Drosophila melanogaster: one gene and its partner. The gene in region 1 interacts genetically with each later gene. Each region holds a gene or a part of one and is shown on either strand. Other genes may lie near its edges.

The links.
Region 2: of Fsn (region 1) and wnd, changing one suppresses a phenotype caused by changing the other (phenotypic suppression), as found in Drosophila melanogaster (one study listed by BioGRID).

The regions. Positions count from the first base shown.
Region 1 is NT_033778.4:13,218,255-13,225,271, reverse strand, and holds Fsn (F-box synaptic protein), read left to right. Parts: upstream 1-2,812; 5' UTR 2,813-2,928; intron 2,929-2,933; exon of another isoform or gene 2,934-3,042; 5' UTR 3,043-3,102; coding exon 3,103-3,410; intron 3,411-3,467; coding exon 3,468-3,832; intron 3,833-3,895; coding exon 3,896-3,990; 3' UTR 3,991-4,333; downstream 4,334-7,017. Other genes in the region: DP transcription factor, read right to left, coding at 2,160-2,226; CG17059 (uncharacterized protein), read right to left, coding at 4,369-4,506, 4,817-4,894; CG4646 (uncharacterized protein), read left to right, coding at 5,076-5,328, 5,388-5,626. UniProt on the Drosophila melanogaster protein: Required in the presynaptic motoneuron to down-regulate the levels of wnd and restrain synaptic terminal growth at the neuromuscular junction (NMJ). Negatively regulates the localization of vas to the posterior pole of the oocyte.
Region 2 is NT_037436.4:19,630,597-19,638,239, forward strand, and holds the start of wnd (wallenda), read right to left. Parts: upstream 5,188-7,643; 5' UTR 4,835-5,187; exon of another isoform or gene 4,826-4,834; intron 3,868-4,825; 5' UTR 3,785-3,867; coding exon 3,636-3,784; intron 2,501-3,635; exon of another isoform or gene 1,839-2,500; coding exon of another isoform or gene 1,771-1,838; intron 1-1,770.

The DNA.
Region 1 (7,017 bases):
AATTCATCGCAGCGAAGTGAAGAGAATGGAATGGAGCGAGTTAAGCGCACTGGAGTCGGAATACAACAACGAAAGGCGAGCGGCACATTAAGATTGGGGTGCATACACACATACACACAAGGTATACCCACACTCACGTGCTGGTGGTGAGTGTGCGTGTGTTTCAATCGGTGTGACAAGGATACAAATGCAGAAGCATAAACAACCCGAAACCAGATCGCCTGGACATTAGTGATGGCAACCACGTGACCCTTAACCAATTAGAGATGGTTCGATACTAAAGTTCGTGACTCGACAAGATTGTTGATCAGTCATTAGTCGGATTAATCCAAGTTCGAATATAATTTGAATTAAATATAGTGCGATTATAGGTTTCCCATTAAAACTCACAATTCGACTTTTAACTGGAAAGACAATAAATCAAGCAGAAGCCTAAGCAGAAGAAAAAGTAAGAGCAAATATGATACCGGTTAGTATTTTTAAAAGCGTGACATTTCAAATCACTGTTCTTAGTTGCGTTCTTTAGTAAATTTTATTTACTGCTAATTTGGTATATCCAACACTATGAGCACTTCCATTCCAAAGCAACTATAATATCAAGGCAGAATTAACCGGAAACCCATTAAGACTACTCGGTTGGCACCCCTGGGTTTCGTATCCAACCGGCTTTTCTAAACATTTCCAGTTTTAGATGGTATTCATTCGATGTAATAATTGTTCACCTGTCGCCAGCCCAATATTTGCATAATCATAACAACAAAGCAGGTGGACAACGCATAATGGAGATGAAGATGCCCAAAACAAAAACCGCAAAGGGTCGAGCGCTAAAAATACCTGCCAACTCTCCCGCACCCACGGGCACATCACACGCACACACACCTGCAAGTGAGTCAGACTCACGGGGGCTTGAGCAGCGGACACATGCGAGAAAATGCCGGACTGTCCCACCAGATGGTAACGATGGGAGTCTTAAACTCGGCGGGAGTTATCCTACAATGCCTAGGCAGAGTCCCAAAATGCAGGTGAAACCATAATCCCTACAATTGGAGAAGCAGTTCCATAGTTCGTCTGCACCAGTCAACCAGCAGATAACTACAAACCAGGTAACTCGCTGGTACGAACAGGCTGATATACTGGTCTATATAAAGCGTTTATGCGCGCTTCATATTCAACAAAGAGCAATATCACTGATTAAAAATTACTATTTCTTTACATATTGGGGATTAAAGAGACATTTTATACAAATAAAAGCACGTCATAAAGCTATCCATATCTTCTTCTTTGCTATCATGACTGAATGAAACTCATGAAGTTAATCAGTTCAGTACTGCGGGGTACGGTAAATACCGCATAAACGCGGCGACGGACAACTACACACGTGTACAGCGCTTACACCTATTTGCTCTCGCCTGTTTTGGGCTTCAGCTTCGTGGCTGACTACGTGTGTGTGTGTGTGGCAGTGTTGTTCTTGCTGTGGCCTTTTTTCTCTCACCCCGATCTCTCTTGGCGGTGCGCCCCGTCTCTCTCCCACTCGCTAAGATATGGCAGAATGTCACGCTGTTCAGATACATTTGTTTCAAGTTGAATTTACAATGTCCCTCACAATAATACCTTTGTACGTAGCTGAAATCAACGATTTATCACTACTTCACTTCATGCTAAATCCTCAAAGCGAATTCGCAGTGGCGGCGAAGTAATCAGCTGTTCGCCGCCCAATGAAAAAACAAAAAAATAAGTAGGAGAAAACGCGCGCGTGCTAGTGTGCGTGCATGTGTGTGTGTGAGCAAGCGCGCCAACTGGGCGATGGGCGTAGATGGCAGAAGGGGGCGGGTCTGGGTGGCTTACTGATATAAGTTGTTATTTCGCGGGGGTCTCTGTCTTTTATTATTACTTTTTGCCAATTTCTAGCACTCTTTTCGGTTCGTCTCGCTGGCCTCCCCCCGCAAAGCGTATCAAACGATGAATACGGTAGGCAAAAGAAACCCGAAAAAGCAAAGATGGCGTTTTACGCTGCCCATGCAACTTTGTAGCGTATCTGTGTGGGTCGCCTTGTGTATGAGGGGGTGTGTGTGTATGATGGACTATAGCGGAGGGAGGGAGTGCACTCACTCCATCGTGAGCAAAACTCCTATTACAGGACACCGCTTCCGCCCACTTACCGTGCTCGTTCCGGAAGAAGAAGTTCACCTCATCGGTCTTCACCGTACCGCCCGTCGAATGCGCCATTTTTCGGCCGCCGGAGATCAAGTGATCTTGTTGTTGTCGCTTACCGCTCACCAGGTGGACCGCCAAAAACAAAAGGAAAGAGCAGTGCTACGTGCCGTTTCGCCGCAACGTGTGTGCTAGGGGGGGGCAAATGGAGCTGGAATGGGCGACGGCGGTGGATAGGCGGACGTACTGCACCCACGGACTGGGGCACGTGTGCAAATCCGGATGCGGACCACGACCACGACGACGACGACTGCAATGGGGAGCGCACTTGTACAAAAAATAAGTGTCGCCCAAGTCAAAATGGCGAGCGCATTTTTCACTTCCAGCGGCAGGGCATTTTTTTTTTCTTTTCTGCTGCTCACACACACTCACAGCGGCGGCCCTTTTTCGGTGGCCTTTTTCGCGGTGTTTCGGCGCACGGATTTTCACGAGATTAGTGGCAAAAGATACGGCGAACTTTTAGCTATCGAACGGCTGGCAGCAGCGCGAATTTCCGCAATTTCTAAGCGCAACAAAATGGTCACAAAATTTCCACCAAGTGGCTGCTTTTCGTTTTCATGTGGGAAAGGCAAAGCAGGCTGTGTGCGGGTGCGAATGAAATGGCAGACAGTGCGCGCCAATTTACGCATCAATTTACGCAGTGTTGTAAGCAGCTGTGTGCGACAGTCGCTATCGCACACTGGTCGCGGATGTAAACAAAGTTGCCACTTTGTCCAGGTGAGCGGTATTTCGCTGGCAGCCCGCCAACGGTCACCCTGAATCGCAGAATATTAAAGTTTTCGAGTTTTATTTTTACCCATTTGGTTGGTGTGGGAAAATGACAATCAACAGGAACGGGTAAATCCAAGCAGCTATCTACACGAGCCCAGCAGCGGAGCGCACACGCACACAATGGTCGATCCGGTGGCGGCGCTGTGCAATTACAATGTGCTGGAGGTAATCTTCTCCTACCTGGAGCTGGACGACCTCAGTCATTGCTCGCAGGTGTGCAAAAGTTGGTACCACTTCCTCAACGACGAGAACAGCGACGTCTGGCGCTGGCACTGCCTGAACAAGCTGCCCAAGGAGTCCCTCAAATCGGACCTGCTGGCCTCCGTCTCCACGTACAAGACGAAGCTGCGGGCCTATTTTCACGCCTGGAGCCCCAACGACTGTTCGAGGAATGTGTACATTAAGCCGAACGGATTCACCCTGCATCGGTAAGGTATTCGGTTTGCTTGAGTCGGCGTTATATGTATGTCCCTCCATTCCCGCAGCAATCCCGTGGCGCAGAGCACAGACGCGGCCCGGGGCAAGATAGGATTCCGCCACGGTCGTCACACCTGGGAGGTGATATGGGAGGGACCGCTGGGCACTGTGGCCGTCATCGGCATATCTACCAAGGAGGCGGCTCTACAGTGTCACGGCTATGTGGCTCTGCTCGGCTCCGACGACCAGAGCTGGGGCTGGAATCTGGTCGAGAACCACCTGCTGCACAACGGCGACATGCAGGGCAGTTACCCGCTGCTGAACAATGCTCCCAAGTACCAAGTGGGCGAGCGGATACGCGTCATTCTCGACTGCGAGGACAACACCTTGTCGTTCGAGAAGAACTACGAGTTCCTCGGTGTGGCCTTCCGGGGTAAGGGGAAATAGTTTGGTGATACCAGCGATACGAACGATTCTATGCACTTTCACCTTGCAGGCCTGCCGGACAAAAAGCTCTATCCCACAGTATCCGCTGTCTACGGCAATACCGAGGTCTCGATGGTCTATCTGGGCACGCCGTTGGACGGATAGCTTTGCAGAGGGCCTACAACTTGGTTAACAACTTCCACGGATCCATTAGGTTATTGTGTACATTTGTATTTATCTCAATTATGATTGCTTCATTCCACCTGAAACTCAGTTCGATAAATTTAGTTAATAGTTTCGTTTTTTTGTACAAAATTATGCATTTTGTTGATTTACGCTAAGCCAAAGTTCATATCCACCTCGGCACTATCTCACATGGCAATTTACCTTAGTTATACGAACCAAATGAATATAATAAGCGATTAAACAATAGTTGAAGCAATTTTTTATACACCAATGATCGCTGATTGTGCAAGTAAAATTACAGACAGAAGAACGAGTCGCGAATACAAATCTTTCAATCCATTTATTGCGTGGTGGCCTCTACTGTTTCCCATCGGTTTTCATCTTGGCCCAGTTGTCTTCATCGAACAGATCATCAAAATCATTGTAGAAGTCAGCGTGGACGTGCTTATCGTTGGAGGGCAGGTGGTCCATCATCATTCCTGTGGCTCCGCCGGACTAAAGGAATACAATATAAATATATACATATGTATATGAGCGTATGGTGGCAGGTTTTTAACATTTATGTAGGATATTGCCATGAGCATTGATGAAAACTCTGGACATGGGAACAATTAATATAATAAATAAAGTCGCCAAAAGATGAAATGAAAGATACATATTCCTGTTTTGCGGGGAAACACTACTTCTAAAGAAGATTGTAGATTTATCTGATTGTTGTTTACTTTTAATTGCAATGTTGGCTACAAGGATAAACAAAGTTTTCGACGACCATATTCTTCGATGGGAAGCTATGTTGAGGACTTACCTCGTCCATTTCCATGTAGCCGGGGCCTTCGGAAAACATTTCGTCGGCAGCCAGAGACGGTTTCATGTTTAAATCCATACTTATTTCTATTTTAGCTTCCAATTATCTTTTTTGTTATTTTTTTTAGCGCAGAAAAATCTTTACTTGCTGAAGGCGTTGCCACTGCAATGACACACAGAAAATAGGTACCCGTCCGGCAACCCTATGAAACAGCTGATTGCCGCTAAGAACTTCAATATAAATATTAACTATTGTAAAAATGGTTCGTGTGGGCCTTCAGATTTCCGCCACGCTGGAGAACGTGGACAAGCTGGAGACGTCTCATCCGGACTACTCCTTCTTCTTGAAGCTGAAGTGCAGCAACTGCGGCGAGCAGTCGGACAAGTGGCACGATATCACGGAATCCGAACGTGTGCAACAGGATTCGCGCAATGCGGCCGGCTTTAACTTCTTCATGAAGTGCAAGATGTGCAGCCGGGAGAACAGCATCGACATCGTCGACAAGTCGAATGGTAGGCTGGCTTTGAGTAACGTATCCCCACCAAACTACTGAGTGCATCCATCCACACAGCTCCCTACACGGCGGACGATTCTGGCGCATTTAAGACCATCGTGGTCTTCGAGTGCCGCGGCGCAGAGCCCGTCGAATTCTCGCCGCGCGTCGGTTGGCGCGTCTCATCCGCTGAAAATGGCCAGCAGTTCGAGGAGGTGGACCTGTCCGAGGACGACTGGGTGGAGTACGACCAGAAGAACAACAACTCTGTGGGCATTTATGAATTCGCCTCGAAGTTCATTAAGCTGAAGAAGTGAATCCTGCTGCACTTTACCTAGGATTTTCTTGATATTAGGCTAACGCCTCAAACTGATAAATGTACACTACACGGCACCCGAAAACAAATATCCTTTAAGCATATAAAGGCATTTCGAATTGTTTTGTTAACTATAAATCACCATTGTCAAGTAATTCTTCCAAAATGCTTTTCTAATTCACCCCTCCTGCTCTTAAACAATACAGAAGTGTTCTAGATATATTTAAAACTTTATTTGTGATCATCATGCGATTCTCTTAGCCGCTCTCCCAAACTCTCTCGATATCGATTTTCATGTGCCGGCTACTTTGAATTGAGATTGAGCACGAAGATATTAGCACTCTCTCAATTGTTTTTGCCTCTCTGTGTGCGTTTGCACTTGATTTCTTAATACAATGCAGTATTTCGCCAGACTGCGAGCGAAACGGACCGGATACGGGAATCCAAAGCGAATTGCCGGACCCGGATATCGTTGCAAAAGGCGCGTAATATTTGGTGAATGGTGACCCTTTGAAACCACCTACGTACACCTGCCAAGTGCTCAGCCAGTGCGTCTCCGGTAATTATTCGGTCTGCCGAGCGAGTGTCGCCAGTCAGAGGCACTAGGTGCATCAATAAAACTCGCAGTGATTAGATAATGTGGGGGGCCAGTCTTATCTGGACATTTGGGCGACGTAGTTCAACAGCCTGCAGAGGTTCCCACCAGTCCAATACAATAATATAACCCAATTCCAGCCCTGACCTTTGCAAAAGTACGTGATTTGGAATACTCATATCAAGCGGTCTACCCCTGGCCACTTCCCACACGGTTCATCCATAATGCATGATTCTAGGCTGGCACGCATCAGTCATGCATCTTCTCCATTTGTCAATTACGGCACTTGGAAGACGTATTCCCATTACAACACTCTACGCTTTCCAAGATGCAGCATTCTATCTCAATTGACACTGATTGGATTGCGTGCATGCATATAAATTCCAGCCACTACTTGGCCACTTTTTACATTGAATAGTGCTTCGTTTAAATTAACAAGATCAAACAGTCAATCCATCGATCATAATGTTTAACTTAACAATTAATATCTTCCGCATGGATTCTATATCTCATATGGGTAAAAGTATAAAGAAAACTGGAAAACATCTTTAAAATTCAGAAAATGTTCTACAGCTTTTAAGATTTTTAAATTAGTTTTTAGCACGATTACTTTAAATATAATTACAAACATTTGTACATGGATTTTTGAATGACACAACCTGTTGACTGTTTTTAAAAGACGTCTCTTAAATTTGTTAAGTTTGCTTAGATACTGACCTCTGGACTTTTTGAAAACTTTATTGTACAGGCATTTCTATTTCTGATCTGGTGCCCACCTTCTATATATGTATACACCT
Region 2 (7,643 bases), on another chromosome or scaffold:
TGCCGATTACGCATAGCCTTTAAATAGAATTTCCTTATCGTAACATTGGTGATAAAAAATGCGCCCAGCATCATCATTCGATCTGAAGAGAACGTCGCAAAAGCCGATAGTTTATTGCTAGTAAATCGTTCGTATGATAAACAAAGTGCGTATTCGCGATTTCTGTGTTTACACACGCCATAATAATCACTTTTCGTGCTGACACAGTGAACGGGCAAAAAAAATCGAAGTTTGATAAAAGCAAGCCCGAGCAAATAAATATTAGGAAAGTGATCGCTTGAAATTCAGTTCTTCGCGCACCCATACGTATGAAAAATGCCTTCCTGTTGGAATTCGTGTTTGCTTTTCTGTCCGATAAGATAAACGAACACAGGACGTTGGGAGCGGGAAGGGGTGGAGTACAGTGGAGTGCAAATGCGGCAGCAGGTGAAAAAACATTTATCATTTATCACTGCCAGAATGGCAATAAAGAGCACAAAAACTGTAAGTAGAAAGTCTGTTAGACGAAATCACCTGCCACACACCTACACCAATGCACCCACACTTACACACGTATACATATGTATGCATGTATTTAAGCCCGTCTACTGTTTTCCTTGGATCGTATTCGTTATTCGCATTACCACTGTTGATTTGGTTTAGCTGAAATGATTTTACAAATACACATATCCACGTTGATTGTGAAATTAAGAATATGTGGCTTCTTTATAAACATGAAGCAAATTCTATTCATTATCAAAATTAAAAGAAAAAGAGCCGTTGGTTATATTATTTTGTACATAAAAAGTGTACTTCGAGAGCCATAGGGTTTTTCCATACTCCTATAGTGACTAAACTTATATTTAAAAATGTTCTTGTTAATTATCATGAGGCCACATTATTAAAACTAACGATTATTAAAAAGAAGCTCAAATGACAAGAATGTTACTGTTCTTAAGTGGAATCATAAAAAGCATATATATCTCTCTATTTAAGCTGAGCAATTTATGTTTTATATCAGCTTAGATCGATAATTTTGGTTACGTATTGGTAACGATAAAAAGTATGCATAATAAATATCCTACCATTTATCTATGTACATACATGAAGTTTTTTTTATCATGCGATTTTTACGGATTAAATAAGAAGAACAGTCCCTTTGCAAGTATTTGTTAGTTTCTTTATTACTGTCTTCTATTCCAAGACAACATATTAACACTAAATTAGCATTGTTCGAAGGGTAGCTAAGTAAGTCAGCAAGTTTTCCCACACTGATAATTCTGGTTGGCTCTCAGGTGAAATGTGGATATATGTAAGTGGAGGTATTGTCCCTGCTTATTAAAGTTTCTTATAATACAAATCATAATTTGATAGCCGCTTAGCTTTTATCTTCGCTTTTCGGGTACGAAGATTTACTCCATTACATGGTGAATTCACCCCTACCTGTTGATCATTGGAAAAAAAATCACACGCGCATTAGTGTACCGTTCTCTGTTTTTTTGACAATACAGCCGTCCTGCTCGCACGCGGCTGGCGGCACCCGCCGTGCAAATGTCAAAAACCTTTCGTTTATTTATGAATTTGTGAAAAAGCATTAATTTCCGTCCCCAAATGTTCTGTTGCGATATGCGGCCAAGCACGTTTTGACCTTTGGCGTGTGGTTCATAGAACGCGGATATTTGGCGGCGTCTCCCCATTTCTTTTCATTCATTTCTGCATGGGTCAGCGGTGAATCTGTGAGATTCTGTGACTCAGTGCATCTTGAGATACTTTCGGGTGCGTGTATTTTACCTTTTTTCTTTGGTGATGATCATGTCGGGCGGGTCATTGTGGCTAAAGAACGGTATGATGTAGACCATGGTTTATTTGTTATTGCCACTTTTTTGGTTCCCTTTCGTAATTAGTTGTCGCGCACTAAGAATTTCATTCATTCATGCGACGAGACTGCATTAATGCAAAATTTTACGCTCGCTTTTCGCCAGCAGTTCTGTTTTTTTTTTGTTTTTACGCACTGGGCCAACAACAAAAGTTGGCTAACTTTTGATTGTGAGTTCGTGCCAAGCACCAGCAGCCACCGAAAAAACAACAACAATCGCCTTTTGTCGTCCGATGTATAATAATAAAAAAAAGTGACGTCAAGGTAAGTTGGTATCGCTTTTTGTTGCTATTAATTACAAGAAAAGAGAGACGAACGCGACGCGTAACACTTTCGTTGGCGGTTTTTCAAGACTGTTGCTTATTGGTTGGGTTTGGGGGGGAAAAATGCAATAATTTCACGTATTTCGCACAACTGCGTCACACCAACACACAGACAACGGCTGCAAACTGATTTGGCGATAAGCTCGCTTTTGTTTTTGTTGTCGCACAAACACACGGACGCAAATTAAGGCAGGCTTGCGAATTTCAAGCGCAAAGAGCGACCACCAGAAGCGATTGATTTTCGCCAACTAAATCGCGACTCGCAGCGTGAGCATAACGGTCTAGCTCCACATTATCAGTATCAGTTCGGATGGAGCTCTCTCTCCCGCTCCGCTCTCATCTGCTGTTATCATCCGGCGTTGTTGTTGTCAGACTGACCGCATTCCCCAGCGCCTGTATCGACTGGCCAACCATCTCGAGGTCTCCCCAGGCCAGGCTGCCATCTGGTCACACTTAAAACCAGTTTTCATGGTGGGGAACACATGATCAAATCTCACACACATCCACACAAATACAGATACAGGTGGTCGTGCTGTGGATGTAAGTGTGCGAATAGGAAGTTTTTGGCTGCGCCCCCCTGCAAATTGTATCGCCCAATTTTTTTTACAGTGGATACTGCCTATGAAGACATTTCCGTGTGCTTGTTATCTCTACTCCTGAAAATCGAGTGCTCTCCTTAGTAATATTATAATCAATCACAATTACAAAAAATTATTAAATACTAGTATTTCGCTATTTAAATAATGAAACCCCTTTTATCTGCTTATCTGTTAACACTGTTGTTTTGCAGTGTTTTAGTAGATGTCTGTATGTCTGTCTTCTTTGTTGTCATTATTATGCTCTTTTAATATCTACTGTGATAACTTTTTATTATTTCACAACAAGCTTTTTTGGTTTGCACGTGCTTTCTAATGATTTCTATTTACTTAGTGAGACTAGGAACTAGGAAAATAAAGCTGACGCCTCCTATTTGGGAAATAGAATCCTGTATCTATCGGATAAAGTTGAATTTTTTATTGTTACTCAGTTCAAGATTTTTGTGGCTTTTTAAATTTTTAAACGATCGTTTAACCTGCTAAATACTTTCGAGTATTCAGTTGCTTGCGAATTACATAAAAACTTGTATACAGTGAAGGTCGATTACCCCGCTTAATTAAGCACGATTCGGCGGCATATTCTTGAAATATTAATTAAAATTTCAAGCCGATTTTGTTTCTTTTACTTAAACACGACGAGTTTTTAATGGCTGAAAGTATTTATTTTTTGGGGTTTTTATGCTCGAGGTTGCTTTTTAGTTTTTTTTTTAAGATTTAATCAATTATGTGATTACTCTTTAAATAAAGTTTCTAAATGTCCAACAACTTTTCTATAATCAACTCAAACAAAAATCGTTCTAAAACTTTTAGGTTTTTGTCTTAGCCATCACGACCATAATGTCTAATAATAATAATGCTCACCTCCTTCGCAGATTGTCGGTCTGATCGAGCGACAAGTTGGGGCTGCTGCCGTGGTGTCGCCTCCGTCCGTGTAGCTGTTGTTGTTGCCGGGAGGCGGCGGTGACCAGATCATCGCGACTTTTGCTCAGACTGTCGCTGAACGGTTGCATTGTCCAGGATTGGTGTGGTTTGGGTATGTGTATTGGTGGCTCTATGATCGATCCTTACGACATTCTGGTCAATAAAGCGGTTGCTATATGGAGATACCACGAACATTAGTATTTTTTGGCTGGGGATTTCCTTTTCAGACACACACACGCGCACATTCGTTCGCAACCTCTTATCAATGAATGACGAAAATCAATAAGAAGCAAACGACGTCAAACGGCAAAGGGCAAAAGGATATGCGAGCAGGAGCGGGAGCGAGACAGCAATAGCACCCACGCAAAAAAAGCTATTTAAACACACAAACACGGGAAGAAGAAGGGTCGATTATTGCACTTGCTGCCAATTCACTTTGCATTCCGCTTAAATGTGGTTTTCTTTCACTTTCAAACTGCAGGCTGAGCTATTTTTATGATGCCTTTAAAAGGCGAATTGCACAAAAGAATAGGCGCACACACAAGCTCACATACAGGTATTCTTTTTATTTGTACACAGAAAAAAAAAGTAGATATCAAAAAATGTATTTATATATTGTATCCCATTTTTGTAAGTTAGATGCTTTTCCAATTATTTTTGAGATATAGTACAGAATCTTTTTCTGTTAAAAAAAAAATATAATTCGCCAAATAATATTACTTTATGATTATTTTTTTTCTCATTTGAATAATATCTTTTGCTTTTCAAAAGATAAACATATATTAGAAGAAAAGGCACTTGATATCATTTTTTCCTGTGTACAACTCCACTTCTTGTTGTTCTTTTTTTTTTTAATTTAACTTGGCCAAAGCTAGAACATAACAAAAACAACAAACATAAATGTTCCCACACACACACCAGAGTACATTTCTCGCTATTGCTGTCTCGTTCACACCCACCCAGTAGGGCCCTCCCCTCTTGCTCGCACCAACGACGGAAGCCTTACAGCGCAGCTTTGTGCTGTTGCTGCTTCTTCTTCTTCCTCTGCTGCTGCCTTTTGCTCGCTCGTTCGCTCTTTTGGCCAAGAAAATCAATATAAAAATTCTTGTATTTGCACATTTTTCACACACTTTGCTCACTTTTCCAGCAATTTTCCACTGCGAATCGTAGTGATTGCATTGATTCGTACTTTATTCAGCCATTGGCGAAGAACTTTTATTTGATTTCAGCTTGAAATGGAACAATTAAAGACTGGTTTTCTGCTCTTCTTGGAGTTCCGCTGCGAAACGCGTTTATTCCGACCAACCGTCCGCACCAAAGGTAGATACAAATCGACTAAAAAGCAAAAACTGGCTGCTGGCTCTGCTTTGGCTTTGGCCGAAACCGAGTTCCAATCCGCTCTCTAGCGCTCTCTCTTGCGGATTTCCTCCACCAAAACCAGTTTGGAGCGCAGGTTGTGTTCACTGCGCAAGTGTGCGGGAGAACGCGACTGCGCGGGATGGCCAACCACAAACAGACATCAACTGCCAAGGCACTGGGTCGTTGTTGTTGCTGTCGCCTCTCCGATTATCCCCGTTTTTCTTTTGCTCACCACACTCTACTTGATAGTGCCAATGAAACTGGATCTGGCTTAAAAGTTTAATAAAGCTCTCGTCAGCGACGTGCACGATCGTGTTCAGTGCCTAAAAGCGCTCATGGCAGCTGCTTCTGAGCTTTTAGCAAAATAATGCTTAAAAAGATAATGAAGTCAAAAATAAATAAATTAAATAATTCAAATCAATGAAATTAGATGTACACATTTGTGTGTCGTTGAATATCTAAAACCTCGCTTTTACCACACTCTTTTTCATTTCTATTTTTATTTTCTCTTTCGAATATTAAGTACTAAATTTAAGAATACTATTAGCAACTTTTGGAAACTTTGATCTAAAATTTTGAAAGAACATCTGAAAGTAGAAAAATTTATTATTAGACAGTTTTTTATACTAAATGTGGGTATTAATTTTATTTAAAAGTCAGCTTCTTAATAAATGAAATAAATAACTAGATATGTATGTATGTATATCTATTTAAGGAAAGTCAAAAACTTAGTGATACTCTTAAAAAGAATGTATGTATGTATTTTGATTTTGTTTTATCAATATATGTTATAAAAGCATGAGCTAAGTTACTTAAAGTATGATCTTAATACTTTTTCGCTTTATACACAAACAAACATACATACATATAAAAATTAAACTTTAAATTGTTCTTAAATGCAATTCGCTTGCGTAAACAACCTATCAGCTTATCAGTCTGTACGTCATAAGCTGGGTATGTAGTTAAACTCGGCACGTCATCAAAGAATTGCTATACAAGAGCAGAGCTGTGAAAACGGTGTCTCCGGATTTGTGTCGAATCCCATACCCCTGCTCCTCCGCTTTCGCACAACAGGTAGAGCACGAAAATGAAAATAACATAGTGCAGCAGGTAGCATAATTTCTACATAAACAAAGATGACTCATACCCACAGAGGACTGATCTCTTTGGAGAACATGTTAGTGGGTGGGGGCTTTTCTACATCGTGGAAAATACTTAGCGAATTCAGCGATCAATTGTATATTTACATAGTTAGAATTTCCATAGCATATATTCAGCGATCAATTGTATATTTACATACTTAGAATTTCCATAGCATATAATATTCATAATAAATGTCTCTACTATGAATTGGAAAAGCATTATTCTATACACGAAATATTTCGAAATTAACAACTTATTATTATGTTACGTACATATGTATAAAAATATTACCTTTATCACCCATGATAACAGCATAACGCCATAAGTATATAAGATCTTTTTGTCGCGGTGTATCCTTACCAATCACACAATCCACTTTTCCCTTCTTAGAGCCACCTCCCCCCTTCCACGTTATCAACAAATACCTTTTCTTGTATGTTCTGACCAATAAATTGTTATGCTGCCTGCGTGCGGCTCAGGCGTTTTCTTTTGGTCCATTGCGCATGAGTCATAGGGTTTCACGCATTTGAGGGACACCGAGGGCCAGTATCTCCCAGGGTTCCAGTTCCATGTCCAGGGTGCAGGTTCCATGCCCGTCAATCAGTGCCACTTGCGAGGGGGAGGGGGTATATGATCTCAACACAAGAATTGCCTTTAACAAGTCTAAGTTAAGGGTAGTTGAGGATCATTGAGATAAGGATCTTGTTGGTATTGTTGTGAGAACAATAATAGTGTATCAATGGAAGATTGGAATATCTCTTTCTTTTGTGCTTCAAAATAATGAATCATTTTGTTTAATATCTATTTGTTAGGAAAGTTATTTTTTTCACTTTGCCTTTTTTAAAAAAGGAATCCAATATGGTCAATTGGTTATAACACACTTTCTTTTTAAAGCTGCCATCATGGAAAACCTTTTAAATATGTTCCTCAATGTACGCAGTTCTGATCTAGAAATTTAATAAAGAACTGAGTTTCTTGAAATAAAAAATGTAAATATTTATTACTTCCATTCGCAGACAAGCGAGCATTAAAATAATATTTCACAAAGGTTTTGTGGTTTTTTTTATTGCCCAACTTAAATACATGTCCTAGGAGCTATTCTTACAAATGTGATCTTGCACAGAAGCCAGATCTCTAATCGACATTTATCGGATTCAGCAATATCTATTACTTAACATCTTGTATAAACTAAGTTGTAAATGCTTAATTCATTAATTAAATGTAATTATATTAGACGACAGAAAATGCTACGTGCTGTTTATTAGAGTTGCCTTATCAGTGCTGTCAAAAATACCGGAGCGAGTGCTGTTCAATAAATGTTTCTTGGCACATTTGGTTTTGATTTAATTGTTGAAAAGCTAAATGATTATTAAGTACGAATCGAATTGTTTAGAAACTGCCACCATAGGATAGGAAAACCATATCGAAAAGGCTCTGTATTCCAGA